4 linked regions of the Lepisosteus oculatus genome follow. The protein of the gene in region 1 purifies or fractionates together with the protein of each later gene. This does not show direct contact. Links are inferred from orthologs where the notes say so. Each region holds a gene or a part of one and is shown in the gene's direction. Other genes may lie near its edges.

The links.
Region 2: the proteins of grb2a (region 1) and ptpn6 purify together in Homo sapiens (affinity purification with western blotting; 4 studies listed by BioGRID and IntAct, with this or other methods). This does not show direct contact. The link is inferred for Lepisosteus oculatus from reciprocal best matches to the Homo sapiens genes GRB2 and PTPN6.
Region 3: the proteins of grb2a (region 1) and pik3c2b purify together in Homo sapiens (affinity purification with mass spectrometry; 5 studies listed by BioGRID and IntAct, counting the BioPlex papers as one, with this or other methods). This does not show direct contact. The link is inferred for Lepisosteus oculatus from reciprocal best matches to the Homo sapiens genes GRB2 and PIK3C2B.
Region 4: the proteins of grb2a (region 1) and dock1 purify together in Homo sapiens (affinity purification with mass spectrometry; 5 studies listed by BioGRID and IntAct, counting the BioPlex papers as one, with this or other methods). This does not show direct contact. The link is inferred for Lepisosteus oculatus from reciprocal best matches to the Homo sapiens genes GRB2 and DOCK1.

What each region holds. Positions count from the first base shown.
Region 1 is NC_090704.1:44,337,945-44,344,893, forward strand, and holds the start of grb2a (growth factor receptor-bound protein 2a), read left to right. Parts: upstream 1-3,926; 5' UTR 3,927-4,149; intron 4,150-4,386; exon of another isoform or gene 4,387-4,447; intron 4,448-6,249; exon of another isoform or gene 6,250-6,421; 5' UTR 6,422-6,649; coding exon 6,650-6,727; intron 6,728-6,949. Other genes in the region: mchr1a (melanin-concentrating hormone receptor 1), read right to left, coding at 1-166, 924-1,020. UniProt on the Homo sapiens protein: Non-enzymatic adapter protein that plays a pivotal role in precisely regulated signaling cascades from cell surface receptors to cellular responses, including signaling transduction and gene expression.
Region 2 is NC_090718.1:2,758,175-2,765,300, forward strand, and holds the start of ptpn6 (tyrosine-protein phosphatase non-receptor type 6), read left to right. Parts: upstream 1-4,103; 5' UTR 4,104-4,809; intron 4,810-7,126. Other genes in the region: CD209 antigen-like protein C, read left to right, coding at 386-559, 1,342-1,493, 2,070-2,176, 2,699-2,858. UniProt on the Homo sapiens protein: Tyrosine phosphatase enzyme that plays important roles in controlling immune signaling pathways and fundamental physiological processes such as hematopoiesis.
Region 3 is NC_090700.1:38,878,623-38,885,622, reverse strand, and holds the start of pik3c2b (phosphatidylinositol 4-phosphate 3-kinase C2 domain-containing subunit beta), read left to right. Parts: upstream 1-3,981; 5' UTR 3,982-4,335; intron 4,336-4,721; exon of another isoform or gene 4,722-5,503; intron 5,504-7,000. UniProt on the Homo sapiens protein: Phosphorylates PtdIns and PtdIns4P with a preference for PtdIns. Does not phosphorylate PtdIns(4,5)P2. May be involved in EGF and PDGF signaling cascades.
Region 4 is NC_090699.1:26,645,399-26,652,279, reverse strand, and holds the start of dock1 (dedicator of cytokinesis protein 1), read left to right. Parts: upstream 1-3,870; 5' UTR 3,871-4,011; coding exon 4,012-4,054; intron 4,055-6,881. UniProt on the Homo sapiens protein: Involved in cytoskeletal rearrangements required for phagocytosis of apoptotic cells and cell motility. Along with DOCK1, mediates CRK/CRKL regulation of epithelial and endothelial cell spreading and migration on type IV collagen.

The sequences.
Region 1 (6,949 bases):
AGGTTGAAGATGAAGATGTCTGGCACCGTTTGCTTGGCTCGGAACTTGGTCTTCTTCACGATGGTGTAGATCACGATGCAGTTCCCGATGATCCCCGAGAAACAGATGACCCCGAAAATGCTGGGCATGATCACATCGGTATAGGGCGCATGGCCCCTTTCCGCAGCTGGGAGGGAGACAGGGAATAACGGGGGTTAACGACGCGCTAAGCACTTCACGGCAGGACCTTGGAGTTACAGAACACTTGCAGAACTGTAACATTTTCCACATCGCTCAAATCGTTGCATTTTGTGGCTCGGCCGTTCAGATTCCCACTTTAGGTGTTGTTGTTTTTTTCAGACTGCATTCTTTAGGACATCAACAAAACAAGTCACGAGATACACCACCTGCGGCATTAAAAATGTAAACACCGGGCTGATTCTAGAAGGACCAGTCCACCCATACAAAACCGGGTAGATAAAACCAGTTGTAAAGACAAAAGGCGGTCGTTCAGTGAAAGAGCCCCCGTGTCTCCCGGGTTGCTAGGTCGAGTCAGAGACATCGATGCAGTTCAGGACTCCCGGTGCTCAATTCACAAGGGAATCGGCTCGGGGAGATTTGCTAAATGCAGCTTCTTCACACGTTCCTGCGATTTCAAAGTGTACGAAACGCATTCGTTTCGTAGAACTGGATTCTAATAACTTTGTAAATCGTGAAACCACATTACTGTAACAGGACAAATTCGTCTTTTTTCCTCTTTCACGCTTTGCTAAAATATTTCACCACATCGCCAAAATTGCTTGTCGAATTAAGCCAGTTCATTCGTCTGCTCACCAATACGTTAAACACTGCTTATATAAACGACCTTCTCTCGGTGGAGACCTTGTCAGTAGTTAGAAGAAATGAAATAATACTTTGTTCCAAGTAAATTGGAGCGCTCTTACCTGTCTGGTTACTGGAAGAATAATTTTTGGAGACGAGTGATGAGTTTACGTAGGTCATGTTTTCAAGAACGAAAGGTGTGTTTCTTTCAAAACCCATCAGTCTCAGAACTGTGATCTAGACACAATAACAACGCGTCAAACCAATGTTGTCAAATAAAAATCAGCTACTTCAAAATGCGAAGATACTTTGATGGAAAATCATATAAAAGTGTGAAAATTCAGCTGATTTTTTACTGTATTGAAAGACTTAGAAGAGCTATAAAATTGAGTCAGTGTCAATATTTTAACCCTTCGTGCCAATTGCTTATTTTCAATTAGATGCTCTTACATATGATTTGCTAGAATCGCTCCTATCGCTCGTATTAATTTCACGTCAGTAGGAAAGAAAGATGAATATTTCTGCTCTTTAAGCCTCCTCACCTACTGTTCGATCTGTTGTGCGCACGCAGATCTCAATCCGCACTGAGATGCTCCGAACTACCGATGTTTTGCTTCTGTTCGTCAGGTATTTCAAACTCGTCAGCCTCTGACGTGTAGCGAACGTGACCGCTCTCTTCACGTCCCGACTCCGTCTAGCGCCTCTCTCCCTGTGACACCCCAGTTCACGTCCAAGAATGCCACGGCTGTGTCTCAATTCTAGTCTGCTCTGATGTCTGTCTTGCTTTTCTTGGGCTGGGCTGCTGTAACGCCTCACTTTCCCGTAATTATGATTAATGAAGTCTTATCTTGAATATAGCGAGGCACTTGAACAAGAAATGTAAAGCTTAAGGTTGCAAATAATGCTTTAGATATAGAAAAAAAAAACAGTAAATGAACCGTCAAAATTACATTGATAAACATTTAAATATAAAGATGGTTTATTATGTACTTAAACATTCCGTTAAGGTTAATAGCAACCCTGTTAAATCTACTTTTAAGATATAAAATGTGTTCATAGAATTTCCAAGCCCTAATCTGAAGTGATAGCAACTAATTGGTGCCAGACTGTTCACGTTCCTCAGTCTAACTATTTATGATCAGAATCAAACACGTTCTAGAAATTTTCAAACTCCTGCTTTCTGCTTATCCGAAGGTGTCAGATTCTCAGCACTAAATGCGGTCGCCGCATCAGCAGGACCGGCGGCGAGTTTTTCCAGCACCACCTGGAAGCAGCGAGTCCTGTCCTGTGTGTCCTTGCCCACAAGGTGGCGCCAGAGGTCAGGGAATAAAATCCCAGTTTCTTCACAGGCTTGGCGCTCACCGGCTGTTTCTCCGTTCGCGAAAGAAGTTGTTGTATAATCGCAGGCGGGGAGCGTATTCAGAATTTGTACAAGACAGGCTCACTGTAGCCTATAAATTAATCATAGTGCATGGTAATTAAAGGGAAATCATGACTTATTTAAGAGTATAGGATTTTAGGAAGAGATCTGGGCAAGGGCAGCCCCACCGCAAGCACATATCATGAGAACGAGGGGAGACCACTCGGCACATCTGTGTGCTGTGCGTGACAGTAGCTAAGGGATCTGAGCCATCCTAGATCAGAGGTCACAAGCTGGATTCCAGGTTAGCCATGGTGTGTTATGCTTTCTCCCCCAACTCGAGCAGTCAATGAGTTGACCCCGCTGTTGTCTACTCGGCCAGCAGCCGTGTCACACTGCCACACTGTCAACTCGCAACTGGCAGCCGCCTGAAGCTCAACAGGTGCCGGGTCAGTACCTGGATGGGAGACCTCCTGGGAAAAACGAAGGGTGCTGCTGGAAGGGGTGTTAGTGGGGCCAATAGGGGGCGCTCACCCTGCGCTCTGTGTGGGGCTAATGCCCCAGTATAGTGACCTTGCAACTTGTAACAACTTGTAAAAAAAAGGCGCCGTCGTTTGTATGAAATGGAAAACCGAGCGCTTCTTGACAGGAGTGATCATGATCTCCTAATAATCCCCATCTATGAACTGGCTCCATCACTCCACGCATTACCTGTAAAGCGCTTTGAGCGGAGAGTCCAGAAAAGCACTCTATAAGTGTAAGGAATTATTATTACCTATTTTTCTTACACATACCTAGTTTTTTTTCTTAATGCCTTGTACAGCCGACTGCCCACACGCATTCACTTCATTAAAAATAAACTCATCTATAAACACCTCGGAAATGGGTTAAAAACGCTACGGCTGTGCAGGTGAGTAAACAATTGAAACCAGCAATTAAGACCGAGCTCCGGGTCTGATAGGTCTCTTTAACCCTCCATCTCATGAAGAAGGAAAGGCGTCAAATTGCCCAGTTAAATCAATACGGATAGCAAATAAGGACTCGGGGTGGAAACAAGTTAGCATTTCCACCCGAGTATCTATAAAAGTCTACTCGGCTGAAGTATTGCTCTGACAGCAATGACAAGGAGCGCGGGAGAGCTGGAATTCGCACTTCCGCAATGAGTCACGACAATGAGGGGAACACCTTTAATAGGGATACGAAGATGAAAAGACAGGCGAGATTGTATTATTGTAATATCGTAATATGCATTTGCTCCTCTATGGACAGCATGTTTACTCCATTGTACTTTTTTGGCAATCAGTGTGTATACACATATTTTATTGTTTTTACAGCGACTATGATCGGCACGTTTTGCACACACCTATGTATTTATTTATTTTGTTTTATAACTATTCTGATGTCTGTTTTGCTTGTCTTGGGCTGGACTGCTGTCACACATCCATTTCCCTACGGGATTAATAAAGTATTATCTATCTATCGAACAATAGTGGAAGGAGACGGTGGAAGGTGGCGCTAAGAAGAGCAGAGGGGTGAGGAATGGAACCAGTTCAGTAAAGGCTTTTCTGAAGAAGAGGGTTTTGATCATAGTGACCAAGGCAGCTTCGGAAGCGAGCATGCCCACCGGCCTGGCGGCTATGCTAATCTGACGCCCACCCCGCAGAGCCCCCAGCAAGGGGTCCGAGGCTCCTCCCCCTCACCCCCCGCCAAGCCCCGCCCCAGTCCCGCACGCCGCGGGCAGGTATCGCGAGATCCGGCTCGAGCCGTGAGGCAGGCAGCGAGCAGGACCGCATCTGGAAGGAAACGGAAATAAATATCGGGATTTTTTTTTTTAACGGGTACAAAAAAAAGAAGAAGAAAGGGGGGGGGGATTCAGAGAAAGGGTTACAAGTTACTATTCCTGTGTAACAAAGTGTGTATTTCCCAACCCCGAGAACGGTCAAGCTGTGTGTTTGAGCTGGATTCACCCGGTTAAAGTTGAAGTGGGGGTGAGTTACTGTTTTTTTTTTCTCTCTCTCGTCTCCTGTTATTTTGGCCTGGTGTTTTTTGAAACAGGAAAGACGCGAAGTGTTGTCTTCAGTTTTTTTTTTTCCGCTCCTGGGGCCTGGGACACAGTCAGCGTCCGAGGGAGGAAACCGAAAACAAGGAGCCCCCTAGAAAGTGGAAGTTTTTTTTTTAAAGAAAATAAATAGATAAGTCGGGGTGGGGGGAGAGACGCTCCTGACAGACGGCGTGCGGAGCAGCTCTCGGCTCGTCAGCGCTTCCCTTCGTCGTACCGACGGAGAGGTTATATATATATTTTTTTTTAAAAAAACCCGAGCGTTTCGCCCAGCGAGTGCGACACTTCGCCCCGATGTCAGCGCGGTCGCCCCGGTGCACAGGCGCCCAGATGTCCCCTCACGGTGCCAGTGCACGGCGAAGTTGGTGTTTGTTTGTTTTCCACCCCTCTTAATCACGAAATCCCAAATCAGGCCGGTGCCATCTAACGCCAGGGCTCCGGTTGTAGTAGTAGTAGTAGTAGTTGTTGTTGTTGGGGTTTTGAGGGCCATTAGCTAGAAGTGATCTTTGACTTGAGTGGTTGGTGTTGGCTGTCGAGTCTGCGAGCTACGGCGCAGGGCACAGCTGTTTATTAACTCCCATCGAGGAACCATCTAGAACAAATCCGGCTGGGAGACTTCCCTGTCGGGACGGAGGGGGCTGTGCTCGGGTCATTCAGCGCGTAAGACCCTTTTAAACTTAAACTCACGAGTATTTATTCTGGACGAGCGATGCTATTCGGTAGCGCAGTGGTTCAGAACGGATGCCTTCATTGGTTTTTCTTTCAACCAACATTTATTTATCGTTGCTGTTGTTTTCAAAAATGTGAATGTAGGCAGATTTCTTATTTATGTCTAGTCGGGATGTTTCGGGGGTATCGCTGGATCGATCTTTCCTGGCGTTATCGATAGTTTTGTCCAAGTTAATCGACACTTTGATTTCGAATTTCAATTGATAAATGTCATGAGTGGGGTAGGCAACAAACGTTTATGGGTGTAACTCGGTTGACGAAGTTACGAAAGGGATTACGAAGTTTGTTGTTCGCGATAAAACGGTAGTCGTGTTAAATAATATTCTTTGGAAGTTGTAAACGGTTGTAAATAAGATCGGGTCAGGTCTCGAGCGTGAAGTTTTAAGAAAACTGGCGATGGTGGGGTTGGATATTGAGTTGTGGAAATATTAATACCTTGTCTGCGACATTGGCTAGGTTTTCTAATTCTACGAAGAAAAAAATTAAGCTTTATTGTCTAGATCGATCAGCAATAAAAAAAGTAAAATGCTATACGAGAATTAAATTGCGCACATGATCAAAATACTGACGTCGCGAAGGAAGGTGGATCGAGACTTCCACGAAAGTTTTCTTAAGATGATGCTTTCCGTATTCTGCGAGACGTCTGCGGTTCAGGGTTTCTGACATTTTAAGAATTTATTATCGGTGGTGGTGGAGGGAATCTCCATTACCTGTAAAGCGCTTTGAGTGGAGTGTCCAGAAAAGCGCTATATAAGTGTAAGCAATTATTATTATTATTATTATTATTATTATAATTCGGAAGCAAACGCACAGTTCCTGTACACAAAGGGTTACTTTTTCTTGCATTCTTGTAAGAGCTGACGAATTATGTTTCCATCCTACATTTTAACGACTGTTTTTTTTCCCTGTTTCTCGGTGTGTGTTTTTAAGTCATAACGGGGAGCATTGACGTTAACGGCAAAACGCGACTGATCCCATGTGTGGCGCTTGTAGCTTTAAAGTGTTACTTTGTGCCATGTAGCAGACGGAGAGATCAATGCAGTGCATGATTGATAAATATGGAAGCGGCCTGTGGCCTATGCGGAGGCCGGATTGGTCACTCCGCGGAAGCTGGGCTGATGTGTGATTGGCGCTGTCAACATTCCTGGCGGCTGATTGGACGAGCCGGAGGACTGGGGCGTCCCATTGGTGGAGAGCGATTACGTCGGCTCTAATTGGACGTTATAAGCTTGCCCCATCCTGATTGGCTGTCGGGACGCAGTGGGGTTGCGGTTGGCTAACTCGCATGTCAGCCAGATGGTTTCCTTCCTCTTTTGCTGAGCGTTTGCCTTTCATTGCAAGTCGGATCTCCAGGGCGCGGCTCGATCAAACACTTTTAAATTAGTCCCTTATTATTATATTTTTGTGCTTTACTGATACTATTTAAATTACGTAGCCTGGGGAGGCTCACTGATGTATCTTTGCCTTTGCAGATACGTGACAGCGACCTTTATGTGAGGAGCTAACCCCGGAGAAACGGGTCGTAGCCGGGAGGAGAGAGACTCGAAGCGAGTGGTCCACGGATTCTGTTATTTTTCTTGCTTTTTTTTATCTCACTTGCCAGCAGAATAAGGGAGTAAAATCTCCACCCTGCTGCATCGACAGACTGTACCTGTACGAAACTATAAAAGCTCACAGGTGTCCCAGCAGAACCCCGGAGAATGGAGGCCGTTGCCAAATACGATTTTAAAGCCACTGCCGACGACGAATTAAGTTTTAAACGTGGAGATGTCCTGAAGGTAATCGTCGATTTTATTCATACCGGAAGGAGCGCTAATCAGATTTTTGTGTTTGAAAGTCCATCACCTCACATAGCGTTTGCTGTTTCATTTGCGTTAACGTGCTGCGCAAAGCATAGTAAAGTACAGTACTCTGCAGCAAGTAAGGGCAGATTTGGGTTATGCTAATTCACTGTTCTTTAGACCATCTCTTCGGCTTTTCTCCTGTTAAATTGACCATTA
Region 2 (7,126 bases), on another chromosome or scaffold:
ATTTTTAATGACCACAGAGAGTCAGGACCTCAGATTAATGTCTCATCTGATGGACAGCACCATTTTTTTACAGTATAGTGTCCCCGTCCCTATGCTGGGGCATCAGGACCCGCACAGATTGCAGGGTGAGCGCCCCCTACTGGCCCCACTAACACCTCTTCCAGCAGCAGCCTCAGCTTTCCCAGGAGTCTCCCATCCAGGTACTGACCAGGCTCACACTGCTGAGCTCCAGTGGGGCTGCCAGCGCTGAGTCACAGAGTGATCCAGCTGCTGGCTGAGAACTTGTGTCGCTGCCTGAGTTCCTTTGTCAGCAGCTTCCTGCCGGCCCGATACCAGTGCCTGCGTGCTTCCATATGGTAAAGACCGAATGTCTATTCCCCACCAGGTAACGGATTCCTTCACGTCAACCAATCACAGAGCTCTCTACCAAGAAGGAACGAGCTGGATGAGCTCAGTGCAAACTATTCTGCTCTGGCTGCTGCCCATGAGAAGTTAGTGGAAGAAAAAGAGGAGTTAAAGAGAGAAAACGAGAGACTCCTGTCCCTGAACACAGATATCAGTAAGCACTTTCACATGCAATGTTACTGGAAAACAGGCATGATGGGGACTTTTTTATTCTGACACACAAAACGAATCATCTCTGCTTTGTTCTGCACAGTCTGCTCTCCCCAGTAGCTGAGCATGCCTGATAGCACAGCTCATTCGTGCTCACGAAGTTACCTACTGTATCTTACTGAAAGCATTTCCAGTGTAATGAAGGGGGGGTTGGTTGTTCAGTCCTGTGACGGGTCAGCCCCTGCGAGGGGCAGAATAACTCTTTTGTTCCATCCCGCTGCAAAATCCATTTAGCATCGCATTGATCTCCAGCACCTGGGTCGCTAAAGCAATTAAGCACCCATTGAATTCATTTTGTCAGAAAGGTTATAAAGTCAGGACAGCGTGTTGGCCCAGTGGTAGGCATTGCTGCCTTGCGTGGGTGCTCCAGAGACGTACTGGTAAGTTAATGAGCTGCTGGAAGAGCATCCCTGGTGTGAGTCTGTGTGTGCCCTGCAATACACTGGCGTCCCTCCCACAGTGTATCCTGCCTTGTGCACGTTCCCTGCCGGGATAGGCTCTGGCTGCCATGTGACCATGAAATGGATACAGGAGCTTAGAAAAGTGATCTGAAGGAGATTCAAAGTCCTGGCAGGGCATTTAGACACGTTTGTCTAACCACTGGGACAAACGGAGGGCTGGGATGTCCCCATACACTCAAGAGACATGGGATTGAAGTACACTGTGTTGGTCAGGGAACTGGACTGAGAGGAATCTGCTGTCACTCTCTGCGTTCTCCCTGTACAGAGAGGCTCTGCAAACTGTGTCCTCAGGACTGGGAGTTTTTCCAGTCCAAGTGTTACCACTTCTCGACTGGCAGGCTGAGCTGGAGGGACAGTCAGGCTGACTGCAGGAGCCAGGGGGCTGACCTGGTGGTCATAGACAGCAGACTGGAGCAGGTAAGTGACTATGAAGGGGAAGGGGGGCGAACGCAATTGGGGAACCATAGCGTGTTGACAAGAGATGTTTGGGAAGAAAGCTAGGGCCTGATCTTGCTTATTTCCTCCCAGCCATCTCCCTCTCTCCCTGGGACCTCCCTTCACTTATCTCTCTCACACCCTTGTGGCAGCTCCTCAGCTCATTCCTTGCACTAGTAACAGGGCGGGAGGGATCAGCCTCATCCTAGTAGCTAGGCTGCCTTTCCCTCAGCTAGGAGAGTAGGACCCACATGGACTGCAGGGTGAGAGCGCCCCCTACTGGTCCCACTAACACCTCTTCCAGCAGCAGCCTCAGCTCTCCCAGGAGTCTCCCATCCAGGTACTGACCAGGCTCCCACCTGCTGAGCTCCAGAGGGGCTGCCAGGGTGATGTGGATGTTGGCAAGTTCACAAACAAAGGGAACTAACCTACGTCTCCCCACCAGACTTGACCATAGCACATCGATTGTATTTGGGTGGGGGGTTTCTAGTAGCGCTCCCTTTGCTATCACGTTAATAACCAGCATCACGGATGAGTAACTCTGTGTCTCCCGCTCAGCTCTTTATATCGAGACAGAGCAAGGGAGGCAGTTACTGGATCGGACTGAGCGATGCCGCCTCCGAGGGCACCTGGCTGTGGGTGAACGGGGCCAGAGAAACCGGAGGGTGAGTTCGGCGGAAACGCCACCGGCCCCTGACTGTCTGGGCAGAACCGGGAAGAAACACACGCGATGGCCGCGGAGAGACGTTAAATGGAGAGATTCTGCTGTTATTTTATATTTTGTTAGACCTGATTCGGCGAAAGGGTGTGTTTTTCCTATTAATCTGGTCATTATTTTGGCGAAATCCACAGAAGTAAATGGTCCGATACCGCTCCTGTCCATTCGTGCTTTTAAGGTCGAATTGCTTTTATATTTAAAGAATCAAAAGATAAGACGTGCAATGGAAACATGTTAAAAGCTTTATTTTCAGCTTTTGTCACTGAGAATTCCCCTGGCTGTGAAGGGCGTCTATTTCTGTATCGGTTTGACTATGTTGTCTCCCTTTTCGTATTTTTGATGTTTCAATGAGAAACTGTTCAGTTCCAGCTCAGTCCTGGAACAGCAGCATCGCGCTTCACTGCTCTCTCCTGCCAAGAACAAACAAAAAGGCCGGAATGAGAACTAAACGTGAACTGGAACTTGACAGGTACTGGATGCCGAGGCAGCCGGACAATCACCGGGGCAGAGAGAACTGCGCCGTGATCGCCTCCCGAGCCGCGGGAGCCGTGAGGAACTGGAATGACGAAGAGTGCGGCCGGACCCTGTCCTGGATCTGCGAAGCCGAGAGTCCCCTCCTCTCCGCTTAAGACGCTTGGCGGCTCCGAGCAAAAAAAAAACACCCGTGCTGCTCTTCCGGAGCCGAGCGCCTCGCCATCAGTCCACGGAGAGCCCGAAGAACCCACAGGGCAGTTTTGGCTTGCGTGACGGCGGTGTGAACAAGTCGTAACTGCGCTTCACGGGCCGATCCGCTCGCTTCGCACTTCACGCAGGACGCAAGCAGCTACAGAGGAGGACGGCAAGGTGATCCAAGGATCACGTAGCTCCAAAACATTCAGTTCAACTCGGCTGCAATTAAGAAAGCAAAAAAAAAAAACAACAACCCGTAGAGATGGGGAATTCTGACCTTGGACGTTATGTGGATTTGGCTATTGAAATTGATTTTTTTTTAATCTAAATGTGCTTTGGTGTTCGCTTCGTGCTCAGCAGCTGAGCTTTTTTTTGTACTTTTGCCTTTTGTACAAGCGTACGGAGCCCGGGAGGGGCCATCGGTGTGTGTGTGATGGGGAGTTATATCGAGGGAACGATTTACGATTCGTGCGCACGAAATAACGTTTTCTCTTTCTTCCGTTTTCGCACGCACATAGAAAGTTTAAAACGCCCGCATTGTCCCCTTCTCCTGACGACAACGCTTTCAAACGCTAGTTAACATGTTTTTATATCGGTACAATAAAGCATATCTGACACTGCTGTAGATAAGGATAATGGATAGAGATGAACTGATTAAGTTTTATTTTGGTTTGGGGATGAGTTATTAGGGCACTGTAGCTACTGTACTCTTCAACTATCGGGACTGCACCTCTCTTTCACTGCTAGTGCCACGTCAGTGCTTGCGAGGGGGTTAGGAAACGTTATTTCGTGCGCACGAATTAAAGAAAACGGGGGCACGATGTAGGTATTTCGTGGGCGCGAATTTTAAGTCGTTCCCTCGATATAACTTTGTTTTCTTACTGATGGTCCGGCCTCCGAACCAGCGCGTCCTCCTGACTCTGCAAACCCCCTCCTGCTGTCGCGCTCCCTCAGATAAATGAACCACTGAGACCTGTCACTACTGCAAGAATCACATTTTGTTCTGAAACTCCAGAGCGAATAGCGTATCGAGTTTTGTAGGCGGTGCAATAAAAACCAATGTGTGCTCCTGTGGATATCCGCTTCAAAATGTTTAGAATAAAAAGTTACTATTCTGCACTTGACAGAACATGTTCTGTGCCTTCGAGCTTGTAGTATTCTGGTAGCCATGGTTACCCTCGGTTCCATGCATTCCAGTGGCTATGACGACCATGGATTTGCGGAAGGTGCGGTGTAGTGCTGTACGGCAGAAAAGCCAAACTACAACTCCCATCAGTCTTTTAGGCACGCTGGGCTTTTGCTGAGGGCTCATGGGTATTGTAGTTTTTTTTGACCGTGCCATTTGGTTAGCATTAAGAGGTCCTGGCAGACTGCGTGTTCACACACGAATCGCCCCGACATCATCGTTACTACACTTCTACAAACATCCCTGCCGACACTAGGGGAGAGAGTTCAGTTAGTTCGCTAGTGCTCTCTCCACTCGCGATACCTCCCCCCGTGGCTGTTACACGACCCCGGAACCACGCAGAACCACAAACCAGGTGCGCTTGAGGGGCAACCAGCCATTTTCTCCCTTTCTATCTCTTTCTCACCAGCTCTGCAGGGCTCCACTTCACCGTTATACTAACGGCTCACAAACCTAGTTAATATGTAACTCGACGAGTACAGTTTATTGTAAAGATTTAACCAGCGCTAAGCTAATAATCCATTCCCCTTTCCGTTGACATTACAAGGCTACCCAAGTGAATCATTAACTGACGCCGTGTGCCCCCAAGTGTGCAGAAGCCAGCGCTTCGTTCGCCAAAGTGCGCATGCTCTGCCCTCAAGCATACGTCAGCGTGCTCGCGTATAGGATAGCCGTCGGTGTCGAGTGACCCAGCAGCGCTGTCCGGAGGAGAGGGAGCTGAAATGGTAAAGGCACATCATTCATTTATCTCTGTGGTGCAGCCGTTCCTGAAATAAAACCGAATGGGTGTCGCTGCTGTACCTTTCTGTCTTTATTTTGAGCTCTGTAGCTTTCAGTTCCAGTGTATCGTATGTCAATAGCAAGCATATCAGTAGTTCTGATGTGCTCTCTTCTTACCTGTTCAGTCTGCGTTGAGTGCACGTAGCCTACTCTTATTGCGTTAGAGACATACAGTATACACACAACAACGTGACCTGAACTTTTTAAACTTGCCCATTGCTTGAAATACGGCAAGTCGCCTTAGACACGCATAACAAATTCGTCCCCATTTTTTACATGACAAGGTGTATTTGCAAAACAGCCGCTGGGGTGCCCCCAGAGAAGCTTTGCAACTTCCCCGTGTGTGTCGCTGATGACTTTTTGAGCGGCCGTGTAGTAAAACGGAAAAGGATTGGACAGGAGGTTTTGAACGGTTCAATGGGGTGTCAGTTTGTATCAAGGTTTCGATTGGGAGTATGGGAAATGTAGTCTTTCTTCAGCCGGACTGTGTATACGTCAAAGTCCCTTCTTTGAGAGTTTGAAAAGGTATTAATCAGCATGGTGCCGAGCTACCAGAGACACAGAGAATAGCTTCTTCTTTGGTAAATCGCAAGAAAAGGTTACAGATTACTTTTAAATAATGCAAATTATTAAAAGAGTTGTTATTGGTTTATCAGCATTGCTTCAGATTATGAAACGTTGCTGTTTATCTCTAATACATTAAATTACGCTCAAGATGTAAGGGGATTTTTCGCAGAAAAATGTAAATCGGAAAACAAAGACCCAAATCTCTTTTATGGTACTGAAAGATCTCACCTTTGCTGTTTCACATTTCAAGGGTTATTATCGTCTGGGGGAAGTTTGTTTTACGTCATGGTCCAGTACAATAATATAACAAGGAAGACAAAGATTAGATAGATAGATAATACTTTATTAATCCCGTAGGGAAATTGATGTGTTACAGCAGTCCAGCCCAAGACAAGCAAAACAGACATCAGAATAGTTATAAAACAAAAGACAAACAAAATAAATAAAAATAAATACATAGGTGTGTGCAAAATGTAATCAGAGAAGACAGGACAGTAGTGCCCAAGGAGTTCATTTACATTGTTTGGGACAGATATTGCAGAGGGGATGAAAGATTTCCTAAATCTGTGACTTTTAGAGTTGGGGACACAGAGGTACTGTATCTCCCCAATGGTAGTAGTGTAAATTCACAGTGAAGCGGGCGAGACACACTCTCCATAATGCCCTTGGTCTCCTTTAGCCATGAAACCAAAGCAAAATTTAGCACTATATCTTTTATTATCTCCCTTATTTGCTGTATCACAACACGTTGCCCGTTGGGGATAATAAGGACTCTCTCTCACATGCTGTTCTACATATTTGGTGAGTTGAACTTTTACTGAATACTGTGTAAATTATATTACAAAAGGAAAATAAACAGCTCGATTAAAGCTATACCCGAGTGAGATGTTGAAATGTTTGCATGCAGAAGTTTATTTGTCCGCTTTGCGAGTCTGATTAGAGCTCCGATCGTGTGACAAGTGTTATATTGTTACTCAGCAGAGAAATCAAATCGTTTCATTTCAATAGAAACGGATTGAATGGCGGGTGGCAGTCTGTGTGGAGTTTGCATGTTCGACCAATGTTCGCATGGGTTTCCTCCCACATGCTGGGCTGCTGCCCCCTACTGGACATGGGGCTGTACTTCCACGAGTTAGCAGACGCATGTAAACAATAATTATATACATTACCTCTTGTAGAATAAATGCTTTTATCTGGCACTTAAAAAAGCTTAAGAAGGTCTTATTGCAGAGTATGTTTTCTGTTGTTCTATATTTTTTACTGGCGTCTGTCTGACAACGATATTTCTAGCTTTGTAGCTGGGTTAAATATAGAGCCATGCGTGCTTTTGGAAACTACAGAGTTCTGCTCCGTGTGTGGTGCCAGTGTGGTGTCAGGAATATAAAAGTGTCTGTTTTATTTAAATTAGCAGATTTTCTAAATTGATTACTTGTTGTTGACATCAGTTTGATTATTTGTGATTTAACACAATACACATGCACAAGAACTAAGTGACATAAACAAAATAAGTAAAGTCCTTACACTTATGTAGTGCCTTTCTGGACACTCCACTCAAAGCGCTTTACAGGTAGTGGGGATCCCCTCCACCCCCAAGCAGTGCGCAGCCCCACCTGGATGATGCGACGGCAGCCATAGTGCGACAGAACGCTCCCCACACACCAGCTCTCAGTGGGGAGGAGAGCAAAGTAACGTAAC
Region 3 (7,000 bases), on another chromosome or scaffold:
TTGGAATGCATAACAGAAGCCTGACCAATGCACATCACTGTATTTATAAATTATAGCCCTGAGAGCTGCTATTAATAGCATGCATCCCTAAGGAAAAAAGCCTGAGATGAGAAAGACGAAATTAGTTTTGATTTATCCCCTCCTGTAGCTACTGAACATCACATTCCCTGGTATGGGCAAATAATTTATCAGAGCTGCAGGATTTCAATATGCAGTGGTGCCGACTTTTCAACTTTGTGTCATTTTGCTTAACCTAGCCCCTCAAGGACATCGATCTGAGATCTGTCACATCATCTTTCTGCTGCAAGAAAGGCAGTAACGATTTCCCGAGTGTGTTTGCCAAGCCTGCTTTCTTTCAGCGCTGAAATGAGCACAAGCACCCAAGAATGTCCCTTTGAGGTAGACTGTGTTTTCAGGGATACTGTATAAAGCAAGCCAGTGGTCTCTGAGAGGTTCAAATTTGTTTGGCCATTGAAAAATATTCAGTGTTTTGTTAGATTTTTTCTTCTTTCTCCTATTTTCTGCATTTTCTCTCTGATTGTGGATGAACATGTTTTTTGTTAAGATCTTGGAAGAGGGCTAGCGGGGCTGTGATTTTGGAATTTCTCAAAATTTCCAGATGCTGCCCAGTCCTGGCTCTCTCTCTCACTCACTCACACTCACTCACACACTCACACACACACTCACTGGAGCAGCTGAGTGTACCATGGATTCTTCTTCCTCACTAGCTCCCTGCTGACACGCTGTCAATGTGCATTACTACACCACTTGTCCACGCTTCCTTCTGGTCCTCCAGGGTGTCCCTTAGTCCTTTAATTCGGCCATCAGAAACTGTCAGGGCACAGTCATTCCCAAGCAGCAACTCTGGTCCAGCCATGACCTCATCTGTCCTCTCCACTGACCCTTACTCTAACCCCACCCTAACCTCTCTAATGCAAGCTCTAGCCCGAATCATGCCAACTTTAATCTAAACACTATTCCTCATCCCAAGGCTAAACCTGGCTCCTGATTCCCTGTGTCTTCCCTGTATCTGTGTTCCCTGGAAGGGATTGATCAGCTACTCTACACTCCCCCCCAGGGTTTGAATCTGTTCCCCCCTTTGCTGGCCATCCCACATGCTCTGTCGTCTCCTGGTCAACGTACTGTATGCAAGAAGAGGAAGAACATGAACCCACCTGCTCACCTTAATTCTAATCCTCCTAACCCCTTCCCTGCTTTTAACAACCTTAACCCTACCTCAAGATACTCACCCTTAAATGTAATCCTCCTCACCCTAACCTTAACCCAGCTACTCACCCTTAATTCTATCCTCCTCACCCTCACCTTAAACCAGCTACTCACCTTAATTCTATCCTCCTCACCCTCACCTTAAACCAGCTACTCACCTTAATTCTATCCTCCTCACCCTCACCCTAAACCAGCTACTCACCCTTAATTTTAATCCTCCTAATCCTCACTTTAACCCAGTTAGTTACCCTTAATTCTAATCCTCCTAACCCTCTACCTGCCTTTAACACCAGGCTTACCCCAAGGCTAATGTGATGACTGCTCCTCTCCCTGCTCCCGCTGTCAATCCAGTGCTCCTAGTGAGCACAGCTCCCCTCCCTGGGCCGCAGCTAACTCCACTGCTGGAGCCTTACACTGGCTAGACGTCAGAGGGGGTGACGTCACTTCTGTCCCTGGCTCAAGCACGAGCCCTGCCCTACTTTTAACCCACCCATCACCCTAGTGCCTCCAGAATCTGGCAGTCCTGGTCCCGGAGGACCTAACAGCTGGGAGAAGCCGTGAAATTAGTCTAGTTAAGAGCCGATTAAGGCCCTTAAAGGCTGAGTTGGAATAAAAACCCACTGGGATTACCCAGTCCTGTCATAACCAGAACCCTAGCTCTGACACCCAGCCACCTGTAATCCTGTAATCTCTAGAAGAGTCGGACAGGAATGGATCTGGACTGCAACTGGACCAAGATGTGGAACACTGGCATCATGTCAGCTTCAACAAACCTGCACTAAGTCACTGCCTACCAAATAAATTTGCACAATATGTTTCAGCAGGGGGCCCCATATAGTGGGATAAGCACAGTACAGTACTGTACTATGTTTTCCTGTAGTACTGACTTGTGTCTGTTGCTTGCTAGGATAGGCTCTGGATACCTTGCTACCCTGAATTAGAAGAATAAATAATAAATAATAACTCCTTACACTTATACTGCACTTTTCTGGACACTCCACTTAAAGCTCTTCACAGGTAATAGGGACTACCCTCCATCACCTCTATGTATAGCCCCCACCTGGATGATGCAACGGCAGCCAAAGAGCACCAGTACGCTCACCACACATCAGGGCGGTTAAAAAATTGATGGAAGGGCTGTATTTCCATGCTTAAGGTTAAATAGCAGGTCTGAGAAACTCAGACAGTAAAAACACACAAGAGGATTTGGAAAATTACTCACACGTTGCCTTATTACGTATGTAAACAGAAATGAGAAATGTATTTAGTAATTAGCAATTGTTTCTAGAAATAACCACAATATATATGTTTGAAAGATTTAGCTACATTATCTTATATTTTTATTGCCATAGCTATGGATTCATTTAAAACGTAAAAAAAAATCGTTTTAATGTTTCACCTCTCGTGTATCACATCCTCAACATCAAGAGTGATCATTTAAAGGCCTTACAAAAACATGTACATTGTAATGAGCTGTCTGACAGGCCACTAAGAGTAAAAAACGAAGAGCTTTAAATAGATAAATGCGTGAAACGTGGTAGTATTCTGTAGTGAAAGAAGTCCGGAACTAGCCGGGCATTTTACACAGTCAGTTCCGGAGAGCTGACAGGTGACCAGGTGACCACGCCGCACCCAGCCGCTTCAAACACAAAAGAGAAACAGCCCGCTTCATAGCTGGCCTCTACGGAAGCGCAGTGCTGCTATTAAGAAGAAAATATCTCATGTGATATCTCGTAATTACGAGAAAATACAAATGATCATTAGAGCTGTATGAACAATCTATTACATTGTGCAATTACAACACCTAGAAGCTACTGAGAGCTAAGATGGAAATTTGGGTTTAGTGACACGGACTGACTTTCGAGGGGGGGCGGATAATTCACAATGTGAACACAATCATAAGAACCCTGAGGACACTCACACTTATCCTACATACCAGAAAGAAGGTACCGGGAAATCGACTTCACTGCTGAAAACTGAAAGTAAACTCAGTCAAATGATCATGTTGGCATTATGACAATTATTGGTACTGTAACGCAACGGGGGCTCAGGCGGGCACCCTTGCCGCATCTGGTCGGCCCCATCCCGACTGGAGGCTCGAACCCGGGACTTCCGCGTCTCTCTGCGACGTAGCCCCGTGAGCTAAAGAGAGATCTCTCTACAGCCCAGTAGCTGTAGTCCTGCTATCACAGTGAAGGGCGGTGACATCACCTGCTTTGGTATGCCGGCTCTTACACAGTGCCTGTCGGCCGTAAGCGTTACAGTACTATATGTGTTATCGCGTGATTATCACATAAAATACGCGATACTATAGTATATCGTAATAACAGAAAATTTACTCCTAATTACGAGATAGCAGGTGACATTTTTTCCTTGATGGCAGCAATGCGCTTCCGTATGAAAGTGACTGCTCTAGTTTTTAATATACATTTTCAATCACATTCATTTTGTGTATCATGTTTTCCCTTCACGCACTACTTTTAGATAAGACTTGCGTTTCAGCCGTACAGTATGTCCTCCTGATTAGACAACTGGGACCTTTGGATACTTTAAAAATCCCCGCCCTCAAGTCTTTTACGTCATGTCTGCTACTGCAGCAAATTTAGCTCACTGCTTCAGACAAGAGCTCTCAGATCAAGATCCCGTTTCGGGAACTTGGCATCTCTCAGGTGTAAATCCGTGCAGAGATGAGAGCAGTAGCACCGCGCACACCCACCGAATGCGAGATGTCACTCTTGACCAGCAGAGGTCGCTCTGGCTCAGCTATCTATTGTCACTCTCTCTCTCACGCACACTCTTATTGGAAAAAGCGATGTGTGCACTGAGCTGCACCGCTCAAACCCTCCCAGATCGTCAACAAAATAACCGGGTTACAAAGGAGAGAGAAAGGAAATACTGTTTCGCCCGCAGTGCTGCCTTTAAACCAAGATACGAGTTCGCGTCGTGCACGAAACACAGCATCGATAGAGCTGCAAGCACCCAGGTCCTGTTTTGGGGTTGATTTAGTTACACTTCAGGATTAAAAAACGCTCCGGACTCGAGAGAGAGAGGGGAGAGAAGTGTTGGAGAGAAAGAAACGGATATTGTCTTTGGGGAATCAAACGCCAGGTAAGAGAAAACCTTCTTTATTTTGATGTTGGAGTCTAGAAGATGCCTGAAAGCCGTAATGAAATGTACTGCGACGGCACAAGTGAATTTCCGCACGAAAGAGTTAAGAGAGGGAGACATGGCAGTCAATTAAAAATATACTCTTTCCCCGCTGAGCCGGCTCCGAAACCCGAGTTTAATTTAAAGAGATATAGGGGCACAGACCGAGCACCTGCAGTCGAAAAATGGAGTAGGATCGATCATATAAATAAAAAGAGCCGCTTTCGCTGCCAATTATAAAGTGTGTGTGTGCGGCACTGTTTAGGTCCCTATGCAAACCTGTGCATAAAAAACCCCGGTGATGTCGTCATGGTTCTGCAAGAAAGGCGCTGTTCCTTGTCGCCTACCTGCCGTAGGCGAGCTGCCGTTGTGAAGGAGCTGCGCCTCGCCCCGGCGTCTCCACGCCTCACACCCGCTGTTTTCTGAGTCCAGCACGGTTCATTTGTTGCACACGTTTATGTTGGTTGTTCACGGTTATTGTCGTTGTAATGTTGTCAACAAAGGGGGGCAAACGGTCCGTGGTGTGAAAAGGATGAGAAATCAAGGATAGCAGAGCAGGTGCTTCAATGGAGTCGCCACGGTCCATGTCCCCGCTGTCACGGTGCTCCCTGTGCGGGTAGCCTCTCAGTCTCGGGGCCCGGAGATGAACCGTGACGGTAACCCGGGAGCTGCTGAAGGCTACTCTCCTCCGGCCATCTTCGCCACAGTTTTTGCTTTTTCTGACAACACTGCCATATCCCTCTGAGGTATTTCCTTTCCAGATACTGTCATTAATACTTGTAGTGCCCTTGCTCGCACTTTTTGTGCTGGATGAGTGGAGTTTGTGAACAAAAAAACGCTTAGCTTACTCTGTTTTTTTTGTATCTCGCATCAAAACAAAGCCGAATGACATACAGTATTCCCTCACCCCAAAGCGTGTTAACTGTGAAAATATCAAGATGTAGCTCGAATATATTGGTGCCAACTCTTCTGAGCCATCTACAAAACAGAAACGAAGCTTCTTTGTTGCGATTCCAGCGGTAAATTGTAGCTGTTTAAACTGAATCATATGATCCTCTGTACCAGTACAGTAAAGTTGCTTATTCAAGGAAAATAGCCCAGGATGCAGCGTACAGTAATGATTAACGCAAAGCAGATTTACCGTGTGGGATTCCTTAATAGTTCGCAAAAAGGAAGATTTAAAAGCAGGATTTGTGAGGATCTGACAAAACAATGAACCAGATGTATGTCTGGATTAAATGAAGTCAGGTTTAAGGATTTACAAATGTATAGGGGTCGGCTGAATTCCTCGGTTTGTTTTGCCTGACCCGATGAAGGACAGTTTCACATCATGGGCTAGCTTTGTCTGCCGTGGAGAGAGTGCCTGGCTGTTGGCTGATTACTGTGGTTGCTAAGAGGCCTGTGCTATATTAAGACAACATTCAACGTTTGCAGCAGACCGGTTAAGAGTCTCCCTGAATGAAGTGTGGTGGTACAGTACGTTTAGTATAGTAGTAGTAACCCATCCAGTCAGCTACTGCATGGACATTTTTGCCTCAGCGCACAATGAGGAGAACAGGAGCTCACCTGTTGCAGTGCAGGTGTTACAGTGCCAGAAGTTGGAATTATGAATCACTTCATAATGAGTCACTTCTTCCCAGCACCTCTCCACCTCTGTCTGGGCCTGACAGCCCCGTTTCCCCCCACAAACTCCAGCGCAGCACTTCTTCCCCAGGCGGCGCAGCATAGTCTGTGCTCCTCCTGGATTCCTTGTGGCACGTGTACGCTTTCGAAAGGTTGCGCCGATCGCAGGACCCTCCCAGATGACAGTTTAGATCTCTTGCTCTCTGCCTCACCCCCTGCTGCTGCGGGGAAGGACTGAGATGAACTGGCCTGCGATCAAGGGCCTGGCATTCCAGACAGTTAAATAGCCAGGCCTCTAGACTTCTGGAAGATGGAGTATCCCAGATACAGATCCTGACTTTGAGCAAGGTAGTGTTGATGTCCTGCTTGCCCTGCGCGATCCGTGCCTCCAGTATAAGAAAGCCACTCGCCTCTGGACAGGGTCATGGCAGCCCTGGAGCCTCTCTCAGGAGCGCAGGTTACCAGAATGGACGCCAGACCTCCCTAGAGTGCACACGCACAGGGGGACAACAGTCTCCAACTAACCTGGTCAGCATGTCTTGTTGGAAAGTGTGTGGTGGCTGAGGCTCCTGGAGAATCTGAGGGCGCTGCAGTTGCGGATCAATCCCCGAACCAAGGCGCTGCATCACCCACACCACTGTGTCCTTGCCTGCTTCCTTCTGCTTTGCTTTTAATTAGTACGAGAGGTGAAAGGGTTAATTCCTCAAACACACTATCCCCTCCACTTATCACCCTGTCCTCTTCAGCCTGTGAGGCTGTAATCCATTGCTTGTTATGGACTACAGCAATCAGCCTTGTAGTAATAATAGTACAATTTAGCTTCCACTTTTTATAAGAGATTACAGTATATGCTTATCTTGCCTACAATAACTATAATTAGCCTAATCTTACGTGTACCAGCTGTGGTATCGATTTAAGGCATTAAAACAGTGTTAATTTCTTGCGGTTGAGAATCAACCCTCATTACGATCTGTGAGTTTGAGTGTAAAGCAGTAAAAAACAA
Region 4 (6,881 bases), on another chromosome or scaffold:
TAGTTTTTCATTGTGAAATGTTTTTACAAAAGAAGATTGTAAAAAGGGTACAAACGAAAGGAGGGCATCCATATTGCTTGTTTGGTTGGTAGTACTTAATTATTGTATCTCATCCAGCTGTTTCTTGAAAGAAGCCTCGACAAGGTGGCTGGATAGCTTGGTAAATAAACCTCATGGCTCCTCAACAGAAGCTGTTTCTCACTTGGACTGATACATTAAAATTACTCAAAACAGAAACAATAAGCCCTCCCATCTCCCTTATTCACAAAAATAATACACAACATTAAAATATGTGAATTTCTAGCTGTTTGAAGTACTTCTTGCTTTTAATGTGAACATTTTTATTAGTGGACAACAGCCTGTTTTGAAAAATCTGAATTTAAGTCACTGCAATTTCATGTCATCCTACAACAACAACAAAATTTGAGTGTGAAAAACTCCAATGCAGGCTTCACTTAGGATACAAAACATAATAACGTAAGTAACGTAAGTAAGAGATACTGCAGCAGTCGGTGTCTGAGCCTAGGAATGATCAGTGCCCATTACATAATTCACAGGTGCCGCAAATGAATTGTCCTGTCCTGTCAAGATGCGTCGAAATGTTCTTTGTAAAAAGAAAAAAGACTTGCAATGCCCTCTGCTGGTCATCCTTATGAACTTTAAATTTGAACATGTTGCTCCGTCGTTTTCATTATTCAGAAATGACTAAATGGAAACAACAGTTCTAAAGATTATAAGTGATGGTCTACAATAATAACAAGTCTTATTGCGCTCTTAAAAGTGAAATCTACCTTTTGCTAGTTTAACGAGAACTCTCTACGTCCCCATTTAATGAGGCTTGATTTGAGCTATGAGTTTGTTTCTTTAAAAAATCAGGGAAACTGGAGAATTCCAAGTACATCTTATATTGGTAGATTGTTTGATACAAAATTACACTATTTTTTATGATTACCAGCTATACTATTGATTTAATGACGTCCCATAGGATTGTAACTTATTGTACCCTAATACCCGGTTTCCTAGAGACGTCACTTGGTTCTCTGAATGTGCTTGAATGTACCACTGGGCAAAAGCTTAAACAGACACAGTGGAGATTTTGAAGAGTACATCTCGTAAGGCATAAAGGCAAATGAATTGGCAAAAATGTGTTTGCATGCCCTTATACAACTCATCTGGGGTGTTGGAAATAGAAGGAGGTTATCAAATGTACAGACATAACATAAATAAAAATTTAAAAAATTGCCATACACAGCAAAAATGCAATAGTGCATGCTTTTAATATCACATCTGAATACAGCCGTCAAAAGTTCGCTTTAATAATGCCTTGAAGATTTACAGACTTAAGAAATGGTCTACTGAAAATAAATTAAATCTTTAGATACATGTCATAGCAAAATCCTGGTATCTAGCTGAATAAAAGACAAGTAACACATTCTGTATCATTGCTTAGCCCCACTTCTTTCCCCTTGGTGTTTTTCTTAATTTGATACTTAATGGTTTAATAATTATTAATTGCTAAGTAAAAGAGCTCTGAAGGCATTTAGGGAATTATACAGTATATGCATGCATATTAATCTTTACCGAAAGTTAAGCAGCACAAACTCTGCATTCTACGATTTAATGTTAGATACTGAATTGTTTTTCTCTTTAAAGTAATTATATTAAACATCGAAATAGTTGAATCTAAGGAAACCAGAAGACAACTGAATAGGAAACATCAGTAAAATAATTTTGATATTCCAGCTGAAGAATAAAACATGAGGAGAGTGATATTACACTGGCAGTTGAATTAAGTCAGATTTTCTGCATAGATAACTCAATACATTTAGAATGGGATTGCATTAATAATAAGAAAATCTCACTGAATACTGTATATCAAGAAGTTTAACCCTTGATCTTAAGTTAATTTTGTGAATGGCATATAATGATCTACATCAACAAAGTTACAAAACTCTATGCTTTCTTGTAGATAGTCCTTAATTCTAAACCAACCCCGATTTGGGGAGAACTGCTGTCTTCTGTTTTTTGCTCTAGCCACGTTCTTTATTACCTGCATGTTATTTACAAATTAATTTATTTCGGTCTTCCTTTTGAGACATATTTTAAAATGCACTTTCGTGTCTTAAAAGATTGCATGTGATTTGTAATTTATATCAACCCTATATAATTTGCCCTCAATCAAGAGTATTTCCTAAATTCTAATCAATTTGGAAGAGAAAATACAGTAGCTCATTGTGGGAGTGTCAGATACTGTGTTCTTCCCAGGTGTTTGTTGGCTGCAAACTGATCACATACTGTATTAAAGCCAGAAATAAGGGTCAGAAAGTTAAGGAAAGATTGCTTAATCTGTGAATTCCCCGTGATCGGGGTTGGGAAGCACTGGTTAAAATTCATGAGGTGCCTGCAGAAAAAGTGTCTTAACATTAGAATGAGAAATGACTCAATGTGTCCACCAAGTAACAGTTTTCTTTGCACCTTTGTGGCACATCCTGGGAACCTGTGTGAGGACAGTGGGACATGGAGCTTCTCTATGAGTATCTTAACAGTACAGAACCTGGCAAACTTGCAGTGGAATGTTCTTGTGCTATTAAGATAGACATATGGGAGCAAAACAGGTACAGTACTGTTTCTCTTCATGTGCCTGAGTTATATCTTTGCAGAAAAACAATCTTTAGGTAAAGTAATATATTCAATTGAAAACATCACATCATTATTACTACCATCACCTACAGTAAACACACAACCTCAGTGGCTGTCTTGAGTGATTAAAAAACGACCTACTGTAAATAACATGCAGGTGCAGTCAGAACACAGATTTCAATATTTTTCATATAAATATATATAAATATTAGAGCTGCTACAAACCTCTAATTAATATGGTATTTATTAATTGCTCATTAAATCAAAGTACAGTAAAGTCTATTTCACTGCAACAACTGACCTATTTGTGAACTGCAGCTTTAAATACATTTAAAAAGTACACAATAATTCGGTTGGCTTTCTTATGGCGATCATCAATAATTTTAAAGTTACTGAGCTAATAGCTGTGTTATAAATAAGTATTTGATGTTATTTAGTGTCTCATCTAGCTTATATTCCAAGTAAAATAGAAAAAATATTTTGGTATTCCCAAAAACACACTAATACTACAGTGCCTGGCGACTTTTCAGGCAGAAATCTTAGTCGTTTTAAAAACGTTAATGATATACATTGTAATCCAATGTAACAGAGGAAAGATTTTGCAATTCAAAATATATTGAAGGGAAAAGATCCCTTTATTGGTTTTATTCTGAAATCATTTGATATTCTCATATCTCTAACCCAGAAAATATAGGTTGTCGAGTGGGATAAAAAAAAAACATGAACCAAAACTTGATTCTAGCAATATATCTATCTTTATCGCCTGTTTAGGGTTTCTGTGTGAATGCATGTAAATCTACACTTAAATTCCAGATAGGTACATGTAATACTGATGGTTTACATAATTGTTTCAGTATGATTCAGTTTCCTGTGTTTATGACTAGTTGTTTGGAAAAAAAATATAGGTGTTTGAAGTTCATATTTTTTACTTAAGTTATTGTTATCCCTCATAACGATATCATGATAAAACGTTATCCTGATGCTTTCATTCTGTTATAGCTAACCAATGTAATTTATCAATCACAGCAGTCAATTTTATATTGTAAGATAACAACAATAATGTAATCACAAACACAAATTGAACACCATAAAGAAAGTAAAAATAACGCGTAATTCATTAGTTTTAATGGCGCTTATTTTAAAAGAGTGGATTTTGACATGCGAAAGTTTTTATAGTGACGCTTTCACCACATGACAAAAACTTATTTTCTCATCCTGCCTACTGCTGCTCTCCCTGCTACTGGTGGAAAATGGCGGCTCGGTGTGGCTTTCGGCACAAATAGTAAAAGGCAAGGGGTAAAAATCATCATCTGAGAAACTTAAACAAGAAAGTTGTTCTAACAACTAAAAAAGTTTCTGTAGTTTGAGAAAATGTCTCGCTGGGTTCCTACGAAAAAGGAAAAATACGGCGTGGGTAAGTAAGAGCGAAACTTCCATTTAATCCACAGCAGTATCCGATTGCACAAGTTTGGGGGAAGAATAGTGATTATGGAGCCTATATATTTTAGCTGTGTCGAATCCCGAGTTTTCCCAATATCCTCGCAGAGGCCTGACAATTGTGTGGTATCTGATGAGCTGTTCCTCAATAGTTCCAATGCAAGTCTCAGTTATATCGAATTCTTGTCAGAGATAACAGGTTCTGTGGTTGGATTTACATGGTTATGGGTGCATGCAAAGCAGTGCTGTCTCTTTCTTTGTAAATAAATTAGGGATTGGGAATTGTCAGAGGCGCGCCTAGTTGCAACACTGTATCCTGCTCTGGGCCTTACTAGAAAATAGTCTGTTTAGATTTTCCCGAAGCTTTTAAATCATTTCTCAATGTAATGTCGGAAAAAGGTATACACCAAGAGTTTAGATCGTTTAATTATTAATACACTGTTATTTGCTTTCGTCCATTGAAAAGCTCAAAAGCTCCAGTATAGATTACTACGTTTCTGCGTGATCGTTTTCAGTTTACTATACTGTATGTACCGAGAAAAAAACAATAGTATTTAGATAAAAACAGTAACATAGCCAATTAAAACATTACCATCCTCTTAATTTAATTCATGCTTTCTGTCAGTTTTTTGCTACTACTGAGTTGCCCTGTGTAGTGTTGCTAGTGTTAGCACGTTTGAAAAGTTTCGTTGTATTGTTTCCTATAGACCCAATATTGTTTTTGTTTAGCAGACGCCCTTATGCAGAGCGGGTAATAAAATACACAACACATTATATTGTATCATTACAATATACATTGATTCAAATGCAGTAGAAATAAAAAAAAACTATTTTTAAAAGTGCCAATTTTATTTTTTAATATGAATCTTGTGAATCAAATACCCAAGGAACTTCGGCAGTGGAAAACAAAATGCGTAATCCAATTTTGTCCTGGGTTAACCCTGGCATATTAAATAGGATGTATATACAGCACAGAAATAAGTATTAATAAGGAAAGAAACAGACATCTTTTCTTTAAGCTTTGTAGTCTAACAGAGCTACTGGACAGTGGGTTTGATGTTTACAGATTTAAAGGTTAATTCCGCGCTGGATTTTTGCTCTGTCATTTGTTACAAAAGCCGAAACTATCGTAGATTGATTTTTAAGCGCTGTACTCGTGAATTGATTTGGCTGCAAGCCTACAAGGATGGCTACCTAATCCCGTTCCCTTTGATGCACCAGCATCTAATATACGATACTGCAATACTGCTGTCTTCGACTTTATATATGTGTGTGTATAGACTTTTGAAAGGGAACTGATTTAAAGTGATCTCACCCCTGCGGCACAGTGTTATAGTTTTTTTTAGGAACAAGAAAGCAAACAAGATCTGACATTGAGATGGAATCACTGACGAAAATAAACAATTCCCTCTTCACTTCCTCTAAATGAAGCAGCTATAAAAGTAGTTCATACCTTAAACATTTTACCAGAATTGCTTATTTGATTTTTTTGCATCTGTACTGTTCTTTTTGCTTACATTACATAATCCAGAAAAAATAAAATAGGTGGATAAAAGTGCTCTTAACAATCTGTCGCCAGGAATTACATTAGCATGCTTTTTTTTCCTTGGATAAAATTTTATATGACGGTGCTGTTTGCTTTTGGGAAGTAGTTTTAGAAGCTTTTTGTGGTGAAAGTCATTATGCATAGAAAATGAGAGGAACAATTTGGCCCTTGAAGCCCATTTGGTAGTTAGTAGTTTATTGATCCAAGGATCTCATCCAGCCATTTCTTGATGGAAGCCAGGGCATCAGCTTCACAATTATCAAGTAATACTTGTGCATCTCGGCCTCATCTCCTGAGATGTCAAAAGCTACACAGAGCCCCATTATGGTGGTGATAGGAAACACTGTAGTGTAAGAGGTGCTGTCCTTTAAATGAGATGTTAAACTGGAATGCTGGCTGTTTGGTAATTAAAGATACCATGGGGCTTTTTGAAAGAGTAAAGGTGTTAACCAGGGTATCCAGGCTAAATTCTACGCTGGGCTTTAATGACCTGGCCTCTCTAATTAAGTTCCCCTTTAATTGAATTGGTGAAGCAAATGGTCACTTCTCTACCTGCTGGCACATAATGGCTGCTGGGTGCTGCACTTCAGTAATAGATGAAGTGGGTCCCCTCTTTTTGTATATGTGTAAAGTGCTTTCATATCTTATGGAATCTCGGAGTATTGCAATATGTTGCAATCTCGGAATATTGGAATGAGAAGTGCCATATAAGTGCAATTAACTACTATTAAGTTTTCTTCACATTGTTTTGAAAAAGTTGTATTTTAACTATAAACTGTGTAAAAAAGGAACATGAAAACAATTAAAAGTACAGATTTAACAAAGTGAAACTTATCTCTCTGTAGATTAGTGAGTAGTCATTGTGGTTAGATGTGCTTTCTTTGTTTTTGTGACTGAGTTATAGAACATTTGAGATATGGTCGGATATGAGTCTATGTCTATAAATTGACACAATTATTAATGTTAATAAAAATGATTTTACAGACACCACAGTGTTCCCTCTATGTAGGGAAACACGCGTATTTACCAGAATCGCTTGTGTTTTAAAGAATTGGCGAAGCATTCTTTTTTTAAGGTGTCTATTTATGTTGTTGTAGGTCATTCAGTAACACATGCTGCCTGCATCTGTCTTTGTAGGCTATGGCAGAGACACTCATCACCAGCATGTCCCCCTTCATCTGGGGACTAAATAGAAAATCGCCTTTCTTTTTGCTAAGCAGATGCTGATTGATTTTTAATTTGTCATTATTGGATTTCT